3 linked regions of the Pelodiscus sinensis genome follow. Each later gene encodes a partner of the first gene's protein in a complex. Links are inferred from orthologs where the notes say so. Each region holds a gene or a part of one and is shown in the gene's direction. Other genes may lie near its edges.

What was found. The genes of interacting proteins can lie anywhere in the genome.
Region 2: INTS6 (region 1) and INTS9 share a complex: the UniProt entries of both Homo sapiens proteins name them as parts of the integrator complex. The link is inferred for Pelodiscus sinensis from reciprocal best matches to the Homo sapiens genes INTS6 and INTS9.
Region 3: INTS6 (region 1) and INTS4 share a complex: the UniProt entries of both Homo sapiens proteins name them as parts of the integrator complex. The link is inferred for Pelodiscus sinensis from reciprocal best matches to the Homo sapiens genes INTS6 and INTS4.

The regions. Positions count from the first base shown.
Region 1 is NC_134711.1:291,278,764-291,285,973, reverse strand, and holds the start of INTS6 (integrator complex subunit 6), read left to right. Parts: upstream 1-4,188; 5' UTR 4,189-4,630; coding exon 4,631-4,741; intron 4,742-4,918; coding exon 4,919-4,996; intron 4,997-5,102; exon of another isoform or gene 5,103-5,138; coding exon of another isoform or gene 5,139-5,228; intron 5,229-5,712; coding exon 5,713-5,862; intron 5,863-7,210. UniProt on the Homo sapiens protein: Component of the integrator complex, a multiprotein complex that terminates RNA polymerase II (Pol II) transcription in the promoter-proximal region of genes.
Region 2 is NC_134713.1:4,737,457-4,744,312, forward strand, and holds the start of INTS9 (integrator complex subunit 9), read left to right. Parts: upstream 1-3,852; 5' UTR 3,853-3,951; coding exon 3,952-4,002; intron 4,003-4,004; exon of another isoform or gene 4,005-4,027; intron 4,028-4,050; exon of another isoform or gene 4,051-4,075; intron 4,076-6,856. UniProt on the Homo sapiens protein: Component of the integrator complex, a multiprotein complex that terminates RNA polymerase II (Pol II) transcription in the promoter-proximal region of genes.
Region 3 is NC_134711.1:316,726,654-316,733,715, forward strand, and holds the start of INTS4 (integrator complex subunit 4), read left to right. Parts: upstream 1-4,058; 5' UTR 4,059-4,437; coding exon 4,438-4,491; intron 4,492-5,162; coding exon 5,163-5,360; intron 5,361-7,062. UniProt on the Homo sapiens protein: Component of the integrator complex, a multiprotein complex that terminates RNA polymerase II (Pol II) transcription in the promoter-proximal region of genes.

The DNA.
Region 1 (7,210 bases):
AGTTGATACACTGAACAACTTTTTCACTGAAGGAAAGCAGTCAATGTTCTTTTCTTCTACAGCAAAATGCAGGACAATGTAGCACTTTAAAGACTAACAAGATGGTTTATTAGATGATGAGCTTTCGTGGGCCAGACCCACTTCCTCAGATCAAATAATGGAAGAAAGTAATTCCAGTTTCTGCAATAGCGACAAAATTTTATCTTTTATGGTGAAAATGTTCACATATCTTCCTTGCAGCGACAGATTAACTTCATTCATCTTGGTGAATGTATCTGCAAAGTACAGCAGCTAGGAGTAATTTGTCAGACAATCAGACAGTCAGCGTTTGTGTTCTACAAAGTAAACTAATACTTTGTGATGAAACTCAGAAAGTCTAACAAGCACTTTCCCTTGTGATAGCCACTTCACTTCTGTATGTTGAAGGAAAACTATGTGCTGCCCGCTTCTCTGCACAGAATTCAGAATAATTTGGATTGTAGTGGTCGAGTTTGTATATAATAATTTGCACTGTCTTTTCCAGAACATTTTAAAGAGGTACAAACATATTCTAATGGCAAGAACTTGTCGGTGAAGGACATAGTGACTGCTGGTGCTTAATTCGCGATACAACTCTGGCTGTGTCCCCAACTATTGCCCTGGTGCTGCCACTACACACATCAACACACTTTTCCCAACTAATTTCATTTCTTGTAATAAAGTTAATACAATAAAATATTTCTTCACCAGCCATATTTTTCTGCAAGGATTCACATATTTGCAAGTCCTTTACAGTGGTTTTATCAAACATATAGGCTGTGTCTAGATTGGCCAGTTTTTCCGCAAAATCAGCTGCTTTTGCGGAAAAACTTTCCAGCTGTCTACACTGGCCGCTTGAATTTCCGCAAGAACACTGACTATCTCATGTAAGATTGTCAGTGTTCTTGCGGAAATACTATGCTGCTCCCGTTTGGGCAAATCATTTGCGCAAGAGGGCCAGTGTAGACAGCACAGTACTGTTTTGCGCAAAAAAGCCCCTATAGCTAAAATGGCCATCGGGGCTCTATTGTGCAAAAGCGCATCTAGATTGGCACGGACGCTTTTCCGCAAAAAGTTCGTTTGCGGAAAAGCGTTCGTGCCAATCTAGACGCTCTTTTCCTAAAATGCTTTTAACGGAAAAACGTTTCCGGAAAATCATGCCAGTCTAGACGTAGCCCTGAAGTTTTAAACTGTTTTATTTTTGAGTGCAGAGTTTTTTGTACATCCTATTTTATTAGTTAGGAAGGGTAATTAATATGTGCAGACCAAGGTTCGGGTCTTAAAATTTTGTTTTGTATTATCCATTTGTTTCCATCACACTCTCGTTGCTAATAGAATCTCTATATTCTCTTAAATATACTTTTCTTTTAATGTAAGTGCTCACAAGTTCTGTGTGATTTTACAGCAATAGTGATTTAAGATAAAACTAGAAAACTGGGGTACATGGTTGCTTTGGAGCAGAGGATCTGAGCGGCTAATGTCAGAGGCCAGGTAACAGGGAAAATGATTCATAGGTATATTAATGGAGGAGGTGCTAGGTCTTGGATGGAGGCTGGCTGCAGAAAGGAGCTTGGAATAGGGGACTAAGGAGTAGGAGAGGGTGTGGGGTCTGAGAGGAAGACTAACTGTTAATAAGGTTGGGTGAAAGAGGGGATTATTACGCTGAGCAGGGGATTTTTGTGTAGAGTCCAGGAGTGCATATGGGAACAAGAAAGGATTCTGACCTGGAGGAGGGGGCTGGAGAGTCTAGGAGGAGATTGTGACCTGGGGCACAGTTGCAAAGGTTTGAGTTGTGTCCTAGATCAGGAGGGAGTTGTGACCTAAGGCAGGAAATTGGGATGCAGGTCTTGGAGGGGGCACTGGTGCAGGAGTGGTGGTACAGAGGGTTTTGGTTGTGACCTGGGACAGGTTGGAGGAGTGGGAGTAGGTGAAGTCAGGTGTAGGCTCTGGCCAGTAGATCCTTACCTTAGATAGCCAGCAGCCCAGCCGGACCCTGAGGCAGGCTTCATGCCTGCCACAGCCCGTACTGGCACAGACAAGAGGGCTACGTCTACACTGGCCCCTTTTCCGGAAGGGGCATGTAAATTTCATGAGTCGTAGTAGGGAAATGCGCGGGGGATTTAAATATCCCCCGCGGCATTTAAATAAAAATGTCCGCCGCTTTTTTCCGGCTTTTAAAAAAGCCGGAAAAGAGCGTCTACACTGGCCCCGATCCTCCGGAAAAAGTGCCCTTTTCCGGAGGCTCTTATTCCTACTTTGAAGTAGGAATAAGAGATCCTCCGGAATAGGGCTTTATTCCGGAGGATTGGGCCAGTCGAGACGCTTTTTTCCGGCTTTTCCCCAAGCCGGAAAAAAGCGGCGGACATCTTTATTTAAATCCCGCGGGGGATATTTAAATCCCCCGCGGATTTCCCTATTCTGAAGTTGAAAATTAGCATGCCCCTTTCGGAAAAGGGGCCCGTGTAGACGTAGCCATACTGCTTGCTACTGCCTGGTCAGTAGGAGCCGGATGCAGCCCATAGGGGACGGAGTCTGCCGGAGCTCACACATAGCAGCCAGCTTGCATAAGGCACCATGAAATATGAGGCAATTTGGTACCTCAAATGTCATGGTGCTCCATGTCTGTGGTTATGTGTCTTGCATATGGGTAGAGAAAGCCCAGGTCCAGACAAACTGTAAAACATAATCTGTGCCTAATTTATAATTAGGATGTTTCTGCTTGTGCAATATTCACACAATTGTTCATACATTAAAAACCTAACGAAACACATTGGTCTGTAAATAATCAATCTTCTGGTGTGCACAGTAGTGTAACTCACCATCAAGTGAAAGGGAGTGTCACAACTTTGTTTCTGTTGCCTCTGATCTTGTGGCCCTATTGCCTGGCTTGGCCACCTTGACGTCTTTAAACTAAAGAGAGGCAAAATCTTACTAGTTCTTGAAGTTCTTTGAGTGGGTCTTGAGTGATTTGTGAGGTGGAAGTCTTGTTTTTATTCGACAAGTTAGTGTCACATTTCAGATCCAAGTAGGGGAGCTGGAACTATTTTATAGTGGAGGTGCTGAAAGCAGAAACCATGCATTTGGTTACTATTACTTTAAGGGGGCGGGGGAAGAGTGCAGTACCCTCAGTTCCCCAGGATCCAACTAGAAGAAAAGTGCAGTACTTTTAAGGTCAAAACCACAGCACTCCAGGCATGCAAGGCTGTCTCAATGTGAGACCATCCGAACTCGTAGACTCCCCCGCTGAAGAGAAAGACAGTAGCGCCCCAGCCACTAAAATACGGGCCCCGCCGTCCTCACACAAGGCATCCGTCCTGATTATCCCCCTCCGCTTCTCTCCCAAAGACAAGCTGCAACGCCCCACGCCTAGCAATTGCCTCTCCCTCGCCGGAGAGGGGGGGAGGGGGAGTCGCCCCGCAAAGCCCCCGCCCTTGACCCACTCTCCTCCTGACGTGGAGCGCCACGCACCCCGCCTCCCGTGAGCCCCTGCAGACCCGGGCTGCGAGCGGGCGGGCGGGCAGGCGGCCTGGCCCCCACTGCAGCTCCCCCGAGGGCCCGCCGCCCGCTCCCTGTTCCGCCTCCCCCCTGTTCCCGCCCCTGCCGGGGACCGCCCGGAGCCCAGCGAGGCCGGCCCGCAGCCCCAGGGAGTCGCCGGGCGCCTGCGTTACGGAAGAGGAGCGGCGCGCAGGCAGCAGCAGGCGCCGCCCCGTGACTCACTCGCGGAGGGACCGAGCTGCTAGGCCAGCGCGCAGGAGACTCCTCGCCGGGGGAGCCCGCCCCCGCGTCCCCTCAGGCCCTGCCGCCTCCCGGGCCCGCTCCCCTCCCCCACCCCAGCGATAAGCGGCTCCCGCTACACCCCCGCCGCCCCGCTCGGGCCTCATCCCCGTAGCCGCTCCCGCGGCCGGGCCTCCGGCCCCCTCGCGGGCAGCTTCACAGGCCTGTCCGACGGCCGAATTACCTCACTAGCAACGCCCGCGCCCCTCCCCCACCCCGTCTCCCTCAGCGTTTTCCGATGGATCCCTTCCTCCCTTCCCAGAACGGGGCAGCTGGGGGCGACTATGTCATTGCAGCAGCACCCCCACCCGGTCGGAGCAGCAACGCGCATGCGCGCAGCTGGAACGCGTGCTCGTCAACCGCCTTCCCTTCAGTGGCTGGATCCGCCTCGTTCCCCTTTTCCCCGTGATTTAAATATGCTAATGAAGGGTCGTCGGGAGTCCAATGGCGGGGCAGGGAGGCCGTCACGTGGCCCGTGGACGTGCCTTTAGGGGGCGGCTCCCGACCTGCCCAGGCTGCCTTAAAAGCGGGCTGCGAGCGAGGAAGCGCCTCAGTCAGAGAGAGAAAGTGTCGGGGTGGGTGGGTCGCGGCTGCTCCGCCTGAAACTTCTGAGTAACATCAACAGGGGGGCCGGCGGCGGCAGCAGCAGCAGTGCAGCCCCCGTCCGCCTTTTCCTTATAAACCAGCCTGTGCAGGGTCCTCACACAAAGGCGAACGGGGCGCGGGGAGGCGTCTCTCCCCGTGCAGCGCACTCATAGCCCCCACTGCCCGCCCGCCCCCTCGTGTCTGACCCCCGCCCCTGTCCATGTAGCCGCCGGCCCCGCTGCTGCTTCGCACTATGCCCATCTTACTCTTCCTGATAGACACGTCCGCCTCCATGAACCAGCGCACCCATCTGGGCACCACCTATCTGGACATAGCCAAAGGCGCTGTAGAGACTTTTATGAAGGTACCGGCTCTGCCTGCGAGAGGCGGCGGCGAGAGAGGGGGTGGGTTGAGGTGGGGGGGGGGAGGTCGCCCTGCTGCCCGGGGTTGGGGGGTGCGGACCTGCGGAGGCCGGGCGGGGGCTCGCATGCGGGGCGCTGCTGCTGGCTCCCTCGGGTAACCCTGCGCTTTGTGCCCGCAGCTCCGCGCCCGGGACCCCGCCAGCAGAGGAGACAGGTACATGCTGGTCACTTTCGAGGAGCCTCCCCACGCGATCAAGGTAACCCCCGCGAATCGCCCTCCTCCCCCGGGCCGTCCGCCCGCCTCTCCCCTCCCCCGCGCTCCCGGCGGCGCGGCGCAGCGCAGCTCGCCCCGCACAGGCACACACAGGCTCTGGCAGCGGCGGCGGCGCTGACATCAACATGGCCGACATTTTTCCTGTGCGGTGTGCGAGCAGCAATGGACTGTGGGGGATATTGATTCAAGTTAGGAGAAGTGACAGCAACTCTAAGGCGAGTTCGGCGGCGAGGAGCGGTACCTGCTTAGGGCCGGGCAGCCTAGGCTGGGCGCTTCGCCCTTGTTGTGCGTGGAGACCCGGAGCCTCCACATGACACATCAGAAGGGAACCTGCTGTAGGTCATTGACCGGCCCCGGCCGCTGCCGTGGACCAGGCTCTGGTTATTTCAGTGATCCTCAATAAGTTATAACTTATAGGCTCACTCTTTGCACCTCAAACCGTGAAACCAAGCACCGATATTCTCCTGCGAGGGGGACGGCTGCGAGCTGGGGGGTGTGTGTGAGAGATGGTATATGAAGTCTTTAGAACAGAAGGGGTTCTTAGTTAAGGCTCTAAGATGAGTTGATAGTTTGTGGGGGTATTTTTTAACTTCATACATGAAAGAGAGGAAGAAACCATTTTTGTAATCTGTAACAGAAGGCTCTCCATGTATACTGCTATCATCTGAAAGATAAGCATTCTTGCCTTTCTCTTTGCAGGCTGGCTGGAAAGAAAACCATGCAACCTTTATGAATGAATTGAAAAACCTTCAAGCTGAGGGACTTACGACTCTTGGCCAGTCTCTAAGGACAGCTTTTGATTTATTAAACTTAAATAGATTAGTAACTGGCATAGACAACTATGGGCAGGTAGGTTGAATATGAATAGGTGTAAACACTTTTTTAAAAAACACTTTCAGAGACCACACATGATTAGTTGACCAAAATAATAGCCTCTGTGAAATATGAAGAGTAAAACATAACGGAAACTATTTTACAAATAAACAGTGCTGAGACAATTGGGAAACCCATAACTAGGATGTAGTTTTGCACCCAGTTTTAATTCATTTTTTATTTCATATCTGTTTAAAACTTCTTGAGTTTTTTAAAACACAAACACAAGCATTGATTTACATTTTTTTTCAGTTCACACGTGTACATTTTTGGTATATTATGTTCAAGATAATGAAACCTTATATTTCAGCACATTACCCAATCGCATGCAGTGGTCATAAATATATTTTCTCTTACGTGTAACATAGGTGGTACCCAATCAGTTGGGGGGACTTTGGGGGTTTAGCTTCTCGCTGAAGTACACTTATTGTTAGCCACTGTGGGGACCTAGCTATTAGGTTAACTGGAACAGAGGTTTAATCAAGTATTGGTTTATTAATTAATTAGACCACTGCTTCTGTCTTTGCATATTCCTGTATCATTCAATCTCTTTCCCTCATATTAAAGCCCTGAAAAGCTCTGGCTTCGCTGACAACTTGTACTGGAGCTGCCATCCTTCTGGCTCAGAAGGATTTGAACAGGACTTCTTTTGGAGCATGTCAACATTATATTTAATCAACAGTGTGGGTCACTGTAAAACAATAAGGCACTTACTTGCATTCTTCCTTGGGTTGAATATATATTTGGAAACACTCTCAGTTGCTCCTGGCCTGAAGAGTAAGAGACTTGGAATATGAATCCAGCTCGAGTTTTGCATAGTAGTGGAGAGCATTGCTAATGGGTACACATATTAAATGTATATTTTGCACTTACTTGCCCTATTAGCCTCACATTTCCCCTTTTTATTTTCTCCTGTGATGTAATGCCCTCTGAGAGGAAGAAAGGCTGCTGCTGTTTGTTTAAAAAATAAGTTGCTTCAACCAAATGCTCTGAGACTGAGCATATATCTGTGTTGCCATGTTCTGTTTGTGTAGGAGGAAAATTCTTATTTCCCATGTTTCACTATGTTGCACTGCCAAGTCACCCTAAACATGTTTTTAAATGCAATCTTGGTGACAAAATTTTGAAATATACTAATTTCACACGTAAAGCTAATCTTTTTAGTCTGTTTCCATGCATGGCCCTCTTATACACACACATGTATTCACCTGTTTTTCTGCTTTCCTTCGTTCCTGTTTGACTTAGGTCAGCCTTACAAAGTTTTCATGAAAACTTACCATCACAGATTCAAAAAAATCCAAACCCATAATCCATCCTTTGCCTT
Region 2 (6,856 bases), on another chromosome or scaffold:
TGTGCATGTCATATGGAGTTAAAGATGAAGAATCTTTGCATAAGAGAAAATGTCCAGTGTTTCCAAATGCAAGCAGCACATCAATTTATAGACAGATGGAGTATAAACCTGCCACCTCAGAGATTCCAGAACTCCTAGAACAGAGAGATGGCAAATAATTTTCATAACCAAAGACAAAGTCTGTCTGAAGCTAAAGAAGTTCCAATCATGTGTATGTAATGTGCTGCCTGTCCCCAATCATTTCCTTAAAGATTTAGCTCAGAAATGCAGCAAAGGAGGGTCAAAAAACCTCAAACAAATGAAGTTTACAGCCTGCTGTTGCAGAACTGTCCCCTAAGATAATTGTACAACAATGGAAGGGGAAAAAATAAACATGTTATTGTGATGAATTCACATAGACCCACTATCCGCTACTCCAGGCATCCCCATTGGCATGCCTGCGGTAAACAAATATAGATGCAGTTTCTACTAATGAGGCAGGGAACAGTGAGGCCAAGGAAAATGCAATCATCTCAAAGGAAAAAAACAATCGCACAGGACTCCTCCTCTCCCATCCATAGAGGAAATCAGATGCCAGCTGCACCATCCTAGGAAGGAAGCAGAGAGGCTTCTGCACCTGATGAGCCCTGCAGAAATGAGCTAGTGGTATCACGGGATCCAGACAGGCGCTCCGGGATTTTAGCAAGATGAGCTGACTGCCTAGCACAAGCCGTTTATACAACACAACTTTATTTCGGGTGGCATCATTCATGCAAATTGCATCTCCTTTATGAGTTCAATCTATCTAGTCCCTCTGATTATTGAGCCAAGAGCACACAGCCAGTACCTAACAGACTTACTTTTCCCAACTCAATGTCCTGGGCCATTACATTTAACATCCTCCACTTTCAGTCCACATGCATTCAGCACTTGAAGACACTTCTCTCTGTGTTGCCAGTGTTACTTGAGCTCCAGAATAAACTGAGTCGATAGGACTTCACAGACAGGGAAGTGGGAATATGTTTCATACTTCCTCTTCCCCTCCAACCCCAAAAGGCACTCTTTCCTTCCCCTATTTGAAGGGGGAGGGGGAAATAAACATATGATCAAAAGATTTTTCAGGGCTAATGCAAAAATTGTTTCCAAAGAAAATACCCTGCAGACACATTTAGAGGCACTTTTAACCACTCCTTCCTATACACCAAAACTCACCACCCAAAACTGAGGTGCAAGAGCCCAACTCAGTTCACCTTGCTGTATGTATACTTACACCTCAAAAAAACCCATCCTGCTCATTTTTTAACTCCACAGCAAAGCAAAAAATAAAAACAGAATGTAACAGCCTAACAGAATTCTCTGCCACCTTCTCCAGCCATCATCTTTTTAGGCACTTTCCGGGCATTCAAAGCAATGTCTCAGATACAAAATATAAATATTATTTTAACACCTTCCCCCCACCTCAAAACCTGAGCCTCATTTTAAAAGTAAAACCAAAATAAAAACCTCATCCATGCTCATCTCCCGTACATTCAAGGAGCCACCCTCTTATGTCCACTCCATCCCCCCCCACCCCGCCCTCCAGTGTTGAACACATCAGCTACAACATCCCCTTAGGATTCTCACCTATCTCTTCCTCATGATGCATGCTCTTGCTTCTGTATCAAGCAGATTTGTTTTGGTAGTAAGCTATCACTAGTGTCTTGGACATACAACCACAAAAGCACTGTGCCATCCCCCTACATCCACCCACACTCATCCGACCCTACCAACACAGTGTCTCTTCTCTTAACAAGGACCCTCCCTCTCCCAAGTTCTTTCATAGGCATATTATTTGTTTCAAAGGTACCCTCCCTGTCCTCCTCATAGGCCAGTATAAAATTCCTCCGCGAAAAACACCAACCTCCTCTTCTTTCACCTTAAGTCAGTCATGCCACACACATTGTGTGTCTCAAGAATAGAATCTAGGTATTAATAGTGCACTCATCACCATAATGTCCCAACAGTGGGCAAGGTGCCTTCCTTCTTTCCTAATTCACCCCACCCACCTAGTCCTGTGTTCAACTCCCTGCAAAACTACAACAGCCTGCAGAATAGCCCAACACACCCTGCAAGCAGCAACAGAATCTGTCCCTGTCCTCTTTCCCTTTACCTGTCCCCTATTTCAGGCAATGTGCATAGTCACACAAATTTCAGACACCACCCATCATAGACTCACAGGGCTGGAAGAGTCCTAAGGAGGTCATCAATTCCAGTCCCCTGCCCAAAGCAGGACCAACCCTAAAAAGTCCACCAGAAGCAAGTCTAACCTGGTGCAAGTCCCACTTCCCAAACACACCATTGCTCTCCCACAATCGTGTGCTTCTAGCGCACATGGAGCCACCAGCCTTTTCCATCCCAGCAGTACACTCCTCAGCAAAACCCAACCTAAAAGGATTCTGTCCCTTTCCCACCCATCTACCCCTCCTCGCCCCAAAAAATCAACCTCACTCGCAGCCTGTATTTCAAAGAAAGCAAGAAAACGGCCACCGAACCACAGTGTTGAACTCCCCCAGCAAAAAAAAAAAACAACAAAAAAACAAGCCTGCCTAGGAGACACCTCCCTGCCCCCACTTCAAGGATACAAGGAGCCACCCAGATCCCTTCTACTGAACTCTCCCAGCAAAATGTGCACAGGCTAAGGGGATCTCCCCCTCCACCAACGCCAAACCCAGCACAGGGCAAGGGGACCTGCCACCCCCAAATCCGCCTCACGCAGCCTGTGCTCCAGGGGCTCAAGGAAGCTCCCCCCCATCCCAGGGTTAAACTCCCCCAGCCAGGCCCAGCTCAAGCTCAGGGGACCCTTCCCATGCCCCTCCCAAAGCAGCTCGGTCCCCCACGCCCAGCAACACTCACCTCTGGACGCTGGTCCCTTCTCCACCTCACCATGGAAGAGCGCAAGTGGGGGATCCCCAGCCCCAGTGTGAGGGGGGCAATAACGGGGGTGCAGAGGGAGGGGAGCAATGGGGGTGAAAATCCTTCCGCGTCCAATCCCCCCTCTCCGGCCCCCCCCCAAGAGAAAATCCCCCCTCCCCCCTGCTCCTTTTTTTTTTTTTTTTTTTTTTTTTTGGCTCAATCACACCAGACTGACTGTCTTTGTCTGTCTGGCAAGCGCCATGTTGATATCAACATCCGAGCTCCCACCTGCCGCCGCTGCGCAGCCCTGGGACTTGTAGTTCCCCCCTCCCCTGGGTGAAGGGGAGAGCCGAGGCAGGAGGACTACAACTCCCAGCGTGCCCTTCCGGAACGGCGCGCCGACGGAGAGAGGGGCTGGGGAGAGGAAGGGACTACAACTCCCAGGATGCACCTGGGGAAGGGGTGGCAGGGCATGACTTCATCCTGGGCAGGGGCGGGCGGCGGCAAGAGGACTACGAGTCCCATGATGCTCTGCGCGGGGGAGGCTGGGCAGGAAAAGGGGCGGATGGTCACAGTAAATAGCGCCGGCCGGGTAAAGCATGAAGCTGGTGAGTCTGTGGAGCTAGTGTCTGTTTGGGGGGGCTGGGCTGAAGGGTCCCCCCTCGCTCCCGTCCCGGGCATGGGGGCGGGTCCTGCCTCTGGGCTTCAGGCCAGGCCTGGTTGCCATGGCTACGCAGTAGGCCCTAGAGAGTCTACTGAGCTTGAGGGGGGGCTCAGCCTTGGTGGAGCGTGGGGTCGCCCTCCCCCCACCGCTGGGGAAACTGAGGCACTTAGCGGGGGCAGGCCCCGGGGCGGCGCGTCGTGCTCTGTATGTGAGGCGAGGCTCCAAAGGCCCCAACTGTGACGGGGGCTTGGGGCCCACTGGGCCAGGCCCTGCCGCGCGGGGGTCAAGGAGCCGGCCACGCGCTCCGGGAGGTAGAGCCCCGTTTCAAACGTCAACCGTTCAGATGCGACGGTTAACCGGTTAACCGTCCTCCTGCGGGCGGGGCTCCTCTGGCCGGGCCGGCGCGCCCCCTGACCATGGTGGGCGGGGCTGGAGCAGCCCCTGGCCCGGGCGCGGCGAGGCTCCACGTGAGAAGCTGAGGGGCAGGAAGGGGTTGGTGGTAGAGAAGGGGACGCTTTTGAGGGGGGGTGTTGCCGAGAGGTAGGTAGGGTGTGTGTAGGTAGGGGGGGGTGGGGGTGTAGGTAGGGAGGGTGGGGGTGTGTGTGTGGGTAGGGGGGGTGTGTAGGGGGTGTGTGTAGGTAGGAGGGGGGTGGGTGTGTGGGTAGGGGGGGTGTGTAGGGGGTGTGTGTAGGTAGGAGGGGGGTGGGTGTGTGGGTAGGTGGGGGGTGGGTGTGTGTGTCGGGGGGCCCACACTGAAAATCATCAGATGCTGCTGCTCCTCGTCTGAAAGTTGGAGACCCTAAGCCACTCCCAGGATGGGTGAACCCAGATTCTGAGGGTTTTTTTTAACTTGGAGCGATACAGTCTTTACAGGTGGATGACTTTGGCTTACTTTGAAAAACAGAAGCTTAGGGGGGTCGCCAAGTTCGTCTGTACAGGATCAACTTAAAAACAACAAATGGTTTGGTAGCACTTTATAGACTAACAAAACATATAGAAAAACATATAGGCTACGTCTAGACTGGCAAGTTTTTCCGCAAAAGCAATTGCTTTTGTGGAAAAACTTGCCAGCTGTCTACACTGGCCACTTGAATTTGCGCAAGAAAACTGACGATCTAAGGTATGATCGTCAGAGTTCTTGCGCAAATACAATGCTGCTCCCATTCGGGGAAAAAACCCTCTTGCGCAAATGCTTTTGTGCAAGAGGGCCAGTGTAGACAACTGAGAATCGTTTTGTGCAAAAAAGCCCCGATGGCGAAAATGGCGATCGGGGCTTTCTTGCACGAAACCGCGTCTAGATTGGCATGGATGCTTTTCCGCAAAAAGTGCTTTGGCACAAAAGCGTCCGTGCCAATCTAGACGCTCTTTTCCGTAAATGCTTTTCACGGAAAAACTTTTCCGTTAAAAGCATTTGTGGAAAATCATGCCAGTCTAGATGTAGCCATAGACTAAGAAAACATGTAGATGGTATCATGAGCTTTCGTGGGCACAACCCACTTCTTCAGATGACCGTAGTTTCCCACAGGCAAAGTGTGTATTATAATACGACACAGACTTGTGGGGTGCAACTCCTGTGGGTTCTGACTCCATCTCTGGCTTGTTTTGTGACTAGGAGAAAATCACTTACCTTCACTGTGGCTTAATTTATCACTGTAAAATGAATTTATGGAGAGGTAGATGAAGGTACCAAACCTGCAGACTTTTACATAAAAACAGATATTAGACTAGACCAAAGCTCCATCTAGCACAGTAGCCTGTCTTCCGACAGTGGCCAATGCTAGACACCATAGAGGAAATGAACCGAACAGGGAATAACCAAGTTATCCATTCCCAGTTGCCCATGGGGCTTATGACAAACAGTTGCTAGGGACCTCATCCTGGCTAATAGCCTTCACAACACCCTTTGACAAAGTGTTTATATGATTCAGGTCTATAAAATCATGACTTATATGGAGAAAGCGAATAAGAAAGTGCTATTTACTCTTCATAACACAAGAGCTAGGCATGACCAAATGAAGTTAATAGGCAGCAGGTTTAAAGCAAATAAAAAGGAAATATTTCTTCACACAATGCGCAGTCAACCTGTGGAACTCTTTGCCGGAGGAGGACCATAACAGAGTTCAAAAAAGAGCTAGATTAATTCGTGGAGGACAGGTCCATCAGTGGTTATTAGTCAGGATGAGCAGGAATGGTGTCCCTAACCTCTGTTGGAAAATGGGAATGAACAACAGGGTATAGATACCTTGATTATTACTTGTTCTGTCCATTCCCTCTGGGGCACCTGGCATTGGCCACTGTCAGAAGACAGGATACTGGGATAGATGGACCTTTGGCCTGACCCTGTCTGTCCTTATGTAGCTCTTTTTTCTTGGGTTTTTGTCTTAGGTCACAAGGGATATTCAGGTTTTTTGGCAATTTCATCCTGGACCCTCATGTATTTGTTTTAAATATGGAAGAACAAGACAAAAATAAATCCACACCAGTCCTAAGCAATGGACACCTGCTCAAAAGCCCAGTGAAGACAATGGAATGATGACCTCTGATTTTGATGGGCTTTTATTCAGGCTCTTGCTGCTGCTGCTGACCATTATAAAGGCAAATCCAACAGCAAACTCCATTGTATATATACTGCCTATAACTAGCTTAGATCCATAACTTTAGAGCACTGGTGCACAATCTGCACTGGTTTATGGATAAAACTTGAAGTGTTGGATTTTAATCTATAAGTCTCTGAATGGCTTGAGGCCTTGTTCCCTGCACGATTGTCTCTCTCCCTTGCCAAACTGCCACATGTCAAGTCAGCAGAGTCACTCATACTCAACATAAATAAAATGGTGGAGCATTCTCTGTGAGGAGTCTGTTGATTTGGAGCTTGCTGCTTGCTTTGATCTGCCAAATCCCAGATGTGTTAATTTTCCACATACTTTTCAAAGCCTTTCTCTTTCTCTCTTCTCTAAGGTTGTTGAAGAGGTCATAGGTGGATATATTTGTGGACAAACTGTGGTTCATGTGTTATGATCTTTAATTAATGGGACAGATACCAAGAGCTTTGGATGGGTGTAATTGCATTTTTAGAGAACTGAAGAAAAAATAAATAGCAAACTGGACCTTCCAGTTGGACAAGCCCAAGAACACAATATTTGGGATATGTTGCTGGTCTGTTTTTAATGAGCTTTAAGCAATAATAATTTATGATCTTGTTGAAATAAATTGAAAAGGTTAATATACTACAACTTACATTATTTTAACATCATACAGGACACTGAGTTAAGTCATAAAAGAAAAAAAGGGGGGGAATTCCATGTAGTCAAGAGAAATCAA
Region 3 (7,062 bases), about 25 Mb from region 1:
TGTGTAACCACTAAGATTTCATGTGGTTACATGACTGTTCAATTACGTGATATCTAACATCTCCAGTTAACTTTCTTCCCTGAAAAATGTTTTTATTTCTAGATATGATAGGCCAAAATCTCATAATGCTGATGCAACTGTACTGATTTCAGTGGGTTTACACAGGAATTACTTTGGCCTGATATAGTCTGTATTTGTGTGTAGCATAGGAATCTAAGGTCTTCAAAAAGAGAGATGTGCTTGAATCAGCTCTGAACATCACCAAACTTTGTTGGGTCAGAATCCATACCCAAATGCAGAACTAGTCTCTGACCCCTATTTCTTTTGGAGACACGGGACATGAAATCTTGATTACATTTTAGTTCACAAAGGCTATAGTTAACTTTAAAGACAGCTTCCAACTTGTTTGATTTTTCCACCTCTTCCTAACTTCAGCAAAACCAAACACATCCCCATGAAGTATTTCATGCCACATGTTACACCACAATAGAATTTTTCTGAAACATTTGGGTCACTATTATATAACTTATATAACTTCAAATCTTTCCATTAAAAAGGGGGTAAACACCAGGTAGATAAATATTTTATCAAGCATGTCTAAGTATTGCATGAACCTTGACAGATGGGCAAGACCAGGACACAGCAAACAAATATGTTTCACCTTTATTTACCTAATCTATATCAAATACTTATGAAACACAATTAAAGATAAAAATTCTCTTGTCACAGTATAATAGTAAGTTTCCTAGACTGGTATCCTAGAATTTGAAAAGCATATTATATACTTGTAAAGAAATCAGTGAAACTAGTCTTGGCATGAAGCAAAACAGTCTTTTATATAGAAGCTAACATTTTTAAGGGCTCCTTCTGGCTACTTTCAGAGCACATGTGGAGGTGTAACCACCATCAGGCAAATTTGAACCTGGGATCACTTAGGCTATGTCTACACTGGCAGCTTCTTGTGCAAGAACTCTTTTGCGGAAGAGTTCTTGTGCAAAAACTCTTCCAGAAGAGAGCATCTACACTAGCATGTGCTTTTGCGCAAGAGCATCCATGCCAGTGTAGACACTCTCTTGCGCAAGAAAGCTCTGATGGCCATTTTAACCACAGGGCTTTCTTGCACAAGAAATTCATGTTGCCTGTCTACACTGGCCTCTTGCGCAATAACAGTTGCGCAAAAGGGCTTATTCCTGAGGGGGAGCGTCAGAACTCTGGCACAAGAAGCCCTGATTTCATACGTTAGAACGTCAGTTTACTTGAGCAAGAACACGCGGACAGTGTAGACAGGCAGCAAGTTTTTGCGCAACATTGCGCTAGTGTAGACACAGCCTGGCTGTGTCTACACTGACTGCGTATTACGGAATAGGCATGCAAATGTAGCACTTTGGAAAAGGCAAATCCACGGGGGATTTAAATATCCCCCGCGGCATTTGCATTTTCATGGCCGCCGCTTTTTTCCGGCTTGGAGATAAGCCGGAGAAAAGCGTCCAGACTGGCGCGATCCTCCGGAATAAAGCCCTTGCAAGTAGGAATAAGAGATCCTCCGGAATAGGGCTTTATTCCGGTGGATCGCGCCAATCTGGATGCTTTTCTCTGGCTTATCTCCAAGCCGGAAAAAAGCGGCGGCCATGAAAATGCAAATGCCGCGGGGGATATTTAAATCCCCTGCGGATTTGCCTTTTCCAAAGTGCTACATTTGCATGCCTATTCCATAATAGGGGCCAATGTAGACGTAGCCCCTGAGTGTAGGAGCCTCTACAGCTTGAAATATAAAGCCAGCTGGCTCTCAGCTTAGGCTGTAGAGCTCCCTTGTCTAAGTGCCACTACGTGGGACAGTGAACCACCCTAGGTCTGTGGATTACAGAGGTATTTATTAAAACATGTTACTGAGAATAATAACAGGAATGAATTTCCCGTCTGTATCACTGAACTGAGGTACTCTTCCCACAGACAAAGAAAGTCATACATTTTTAACTGTGAACATAATCTATTGGAATAATTTGTCAAAGGTTGTGGTGGATCCTCCAGGATGGGCAATTTAAAATCAAAATAGAATGTTATTCTAAAAAATCTGCTCTTGTTCAAACAGGAATTATGGGGAGTCCTATACTCTGTGTTGTATAGGAGGTCTAGGCATGCACACAGGGAGAGATGCGAAGGTGCAAATGCACCTCCCTGACCACCCAAGTCAGCATGAGGGGGCTCCTCAGCCGCCTTCCTGGTGGTCTGCAGCTCGATCTCAGCTCCCCTCCTACTAGTGCAGTGGGGAGCCCACACGGGCACAGTAGCCTCACCCTCCCACATCCCCCCATGCGGTTGGTGCACTAGCATTAGCTTCCTACTGGTGGGGAGGGGAGAAACCCCAGAGCCTCACTACATGATCTGACTTGCAGGGAAAAAGGGCTCCCCCTTCCCCTCTCCTGGCTGGGGGAACAGCAGTGCGCAGGCTTGCTGCTGTTCCCACAGCTGTGGGAAGGGAAAGGGGAAGAGAAGTGCTCCTTTCCCACAAGCTGGATCACGTAGTGCGGCTCAGGTCTTTCTCTCTCCCACCCCCTCACTGGGAAGCTGGAGCTGGTGCTCCAACAGAATCCAGCCAATGAGAGCAGCGGGAGGCAGTGCCTGGGATTAGTATGGGGCAGAAAGGCAAATAAGTGCCCCCCCACCCCTTCATGCCCAGCCCCCTCACACACCACCACCACCCCCTGCTCCTGCACCCTCCCTCATGGCCAGACACCCTACCCCCAAGCCTGCTCCTGCATCCTCCCTTGCTCCTGCACCCTCCCCCTGGCCAGACACCCGCCCCCTACCCTGGTCCTGCAGCACTAGCAAAATGGCTTGGGTGTAATTATGTAATTAACAGTGAGTTTCCATTAGCAACTGATGATTCATGGAAAGGTTTGCATTGAACCAGGTGGTCCACAGGCCAAAAAGTTTGAGAACCACTGTGTTAAGTGGATGGGAGAGTGCTGTGTTGGGGGGTGGGTAGGCAAAGCTGGTGGTAGTGCAATAGGGCTGGGGGAATAGCGCCCCCCCCACCTGCAAGGAGCAGCCTGAGCCTGGCCCTGCTGGCCGGATGCCTCACCTGCTCTCAACCTAACCCTGGCCTCAACAAACAGGTAGAGCAGCAGCAGGCAGTGGTGGCCAAGGGAGCAGGGGGCCATGGTGGCCAGACTGCCCGCCATGATCCCAGAAGGTAATTTCTGTAAAGCCTTTATTGCTGTATAATTTTTTAGTATAACAAAATCATTTTACCAATCACTGTTTCCACTCAAATTTATCATTAACCTCTTTTGTGCACACTCATTGCATAACTATTCTGAACTCCTTTACATTAAAAAAAAATCGTGGTCCACATTTACATAAGAAGCATCCCTCCACAAAAATCCTTGCATATGGGCTTGAGGTCAGACTAGATGTTCACAATGGGCCTTTCGGGAATCTATGACTCTGTGTTGTCATTCCTCTCAGGCAACAGCCTGAGGAAATGACCTCGCTCTACGTGCCTGGGAGGAAATAACAATTCGGATTATCACGGGAGTACATTTGTTACTGACAGATATGCAACATCCTGTACATTAAACATGTAGATACAGAAATCGATTTGCGTGGGGCAAAAGAAGACGCAATGAATTAAAAAAAATCTTTCAGGAAATTAAAAATGTTGAGCCTGAGCTGTGCTGATTTGCCCCAGCTGAGAACCTAGCATAGGATCCTGATCCGCACCACAGCCAGGGGCCCGTGGAAGCCACTTATTAAAACAGATCCACCGAAGAGTCTAGAAATTGAAGGGCGGCTTGTATGATTCCCTTCGCTGAGCGGGGGTCACTGCTCCTCCAGCCCCTGCTGATTCAGCCCTGCTGTTCCCAGGGCTCACTTTGTTGTTCCCAGGGCTCACTCTTCTGCGGTTGGCCAGGAGTGTGAAACACACCTGGCCACGTGTGGGACATGCAGCTGACCACATGCTGGCCACGTGTGGGACATGCAGCTGACCACATGCTGGCCACGTGTGGGACATGCAGCTGACCACATGCTGGCCACGTGTGGGACATGCAGCTGGCCACGCTGGCTCTTTGCTGGGGAGTGACTCCTGGTTCCCAGCCCAGCGCTTCAGCACAGGGATCAGGGACCCTCCCACCAGCAAGGTGGCTTTCCTAGCGCTGAGCACTCCCACTGCGGGCACCACCCCTTGATTGACAGAAGCCCAGCGACGGGCGCTCCAGCCTCGCAGGCCTCTTTCTCCCTAGCCAGGGACTCACTGGCCATAGAGAGGAGACCTCCGCCTGTCTAGCAAGGACAGTTTATCTTCCCATCATCGCCAGCATCTCTATGGTTTCATTTCCGGGTGCGGTGGTGGAGGGGAGGAGAAGGAAGAAGGTACGGTGGCTGCGAGGGCTCGCGCCCTGCTGAAGGCGAACGGCGGCGGTGGCGGGCCTCGGCATGGCGGCGCACCTGAAGAAGCGGGTGTATGAGGAGTTCACTAAGGTCGTCCAGGTAATCCGCGAAGCACGTGAGGGCGGCTTGGGGAAGCCTCACCCCCGTCCCCGGGAGAGGGGCTCGGCCCCTGCCCGGGAAGGCGACTCCTGGGCGGCCTGACGTTTCAGGAAAACCCGCTGGAAGCCTGAGGCCTGGCACTGAAATGCCTCGGGACCCGCAGGCGGCTGCTCCTCTTCTGGAGCGCCGGGGAGCCGCGAAGCTGCCAGCCAACCCGGGGTCCCCCGCGAAATGGGGGCGGGGCCCCCCGGGGGGGGCTAGGGGCCCAAGGGGTCCCCTGCAAAGTGGGGGCGGGGTCCCCTGGGGGGGCTAGGGGCCCAAGGGGTCCCCTGTGAATTTGGGCGGGGTCCCCTGGGGGGGCTAGGGGCCCAAGAGGTTCCCTGCAAGTGAGGGCAGGGTCCCCGGGGGGGGGGGGGGGCTAGAGAGCCATGAGATCCCCGTGAAGTCGGGGGGGGGGGGCTAGAGAGCCAAGGGGTCCCCTGTGAAGTGGGTGGGTGGGGGCGTTAGAGGGCAGAGAGCCCAGGGGCATGGAGGGAATGCCTACCCCCCCCCCCCCCCAGTAGTGGCTGTGCTGGTAAAACCATGCACAGGCTGGAGCTAGTTGCTAGGAGCCCAGGCTCCCCTGCTTCCCTCTGTTCTGAGGTCTTGCCTCACTCTGTGGCTTTGCCCAGCAGCAGCAGCATGAGGAGATCTCTGCAAAGAAGCTGCGGCTGACCAAGCCCAGTAAGTCGGCAGCACTCCATGTCGATCTGTGTAAGGCTACTTCGCCGGCAGATGCTCTGCAATACCTGCTTCAGTTTGCCAGGAAACCAGTGGAGGCGGAAAGCGTGGAAGGAGTTGTCAGAATCTTGCTAGAGCATTATTACAAGGTAGGGGAAATAGCCTCAGGAGCAACTTTCATGGGACTTAGAGCTGCAAGAAATAGTGGGACTTTTGTATAGTTCTATTTCCTGACATGGCTCTTGTTGGAGAGATGCTCAAGTGTTGGTAACAGAATGTGAAGGTTCTAAAGTGATGTTGGGTTTTGGAGTGAACCTCCCCAAGCCTGATTGACAGAGTTGGGTTAGTCTCCTACTAATGCCCTAAAAGTAGCTGTATAAATAGGGCTTTGAAGTAACCACTTGGAGTCTAAAATGTAGAAAAGGGTGATGAACTTCAGAGCTCTCCCAATTCTAGTGGCCCATTGATTCTCATCATGCTTATTATTGATTCTATGATGCTTATTAAAAGTGAAGTTAAAAAGTGCACCGTGGCTTAACAACCACGTAAAAGAAGCAGCAAGAGATAAAAAGGCATTGTTTAAAAAGTGGAAGTTAAATCCTAGTGAGGAACATAGAAAAGAGCATACACTCTGTCAAAGTAAGTGTAAAAATATAATTTAAAAAAGCCAAAAAAGAGTTTGAAGAACAGCAAGCCAAAGCCTAAAAAGTAATAGTAAAATGTTAAAATACATCAGAATCTGGAAGCCTGCTAAACATCCAATGGGGCCATTGGACGATCAAGATGCTAAAGGAGCACTCAAAGACGATAAGGTCATTGCGGAGAAACTAAATTAATTCTTTGCTTCAATCTTCACAACTGAGGATATTAGGGAGATTCCCAAACCTGGCCATTCTTATTTCTTATTACAGCGACAACCTCAAGTTCACCTATCTTAGTATTTGAACTTCTTGCGTTTGTATACAAGCAGTTACAAAATCTGTTAATATGTAGTTGTCTGCCTTCAGGTTATGTAATTGAATGGGACTCCTTTTTGTTTGACTTACTCTTCAATTCCTATCTGTACTTTTATCAACTTCTATTCTCTTCTCCTTACTAGGCTATAGAGCTAGGGTGCCCAACACGCTAGCCACATATGGCTATTTGGCCTGTTGAGTGTGGCTAGTTTCAGAACTGGTTGGAAACCACGGAGTATCCTCTTTAATCCTCCCTTAAGTGATATGGTTGTCTAAACTGTGTGTTCCTCTGCATCTGTTGACTTGCCCACAGCTCTTAGTTCAAAAACTACTCTACTACTTAGGGATGTTAAGCATGTAATTCGTTAATTGTGTAGTCGACATAATTTTGTTGACTACATGATTACTCAATAAGGGTTAGCACTGTTACCACTCAGTCCCAGCTTGAGCTGGGTCTGGCAACTACTCCTGCTTTGGTTCTGCACTACAAGCACTCGTAAGGCAGAGCTGCAGCAGGGGTTGATGCTGGGTCCCGGCATGAGCGAGACTAGGGCTGTTAAATATCGGAACATTGAAAAGTCGATTAACCTCATAAATATTTATTGGTTGATAGACTGTTCTATAGTTCCCAGGGATGAGGCCGGCAGCCAGTGCGCTCTAGCCCCACTCCCGAGGAACCCCTGCCACTCTGTGCTGTCGGGGGGGGAGGGTGGGGCTAACCTCCCAAACCCTGCACAAGTCGAAACTGAGCCAGGCTGCCCGCCCGCCTGGCTCCTAACACACTTTAAATGCAGAGCCACAGCAGGGATAGGTTCTGGACCTGGCGTGAGCAAGGACTGAGTTGGGCTTCTGGTCAGCCTGCTAAAAAATGTACTGGCAAAGAGGAGGTGGGTGG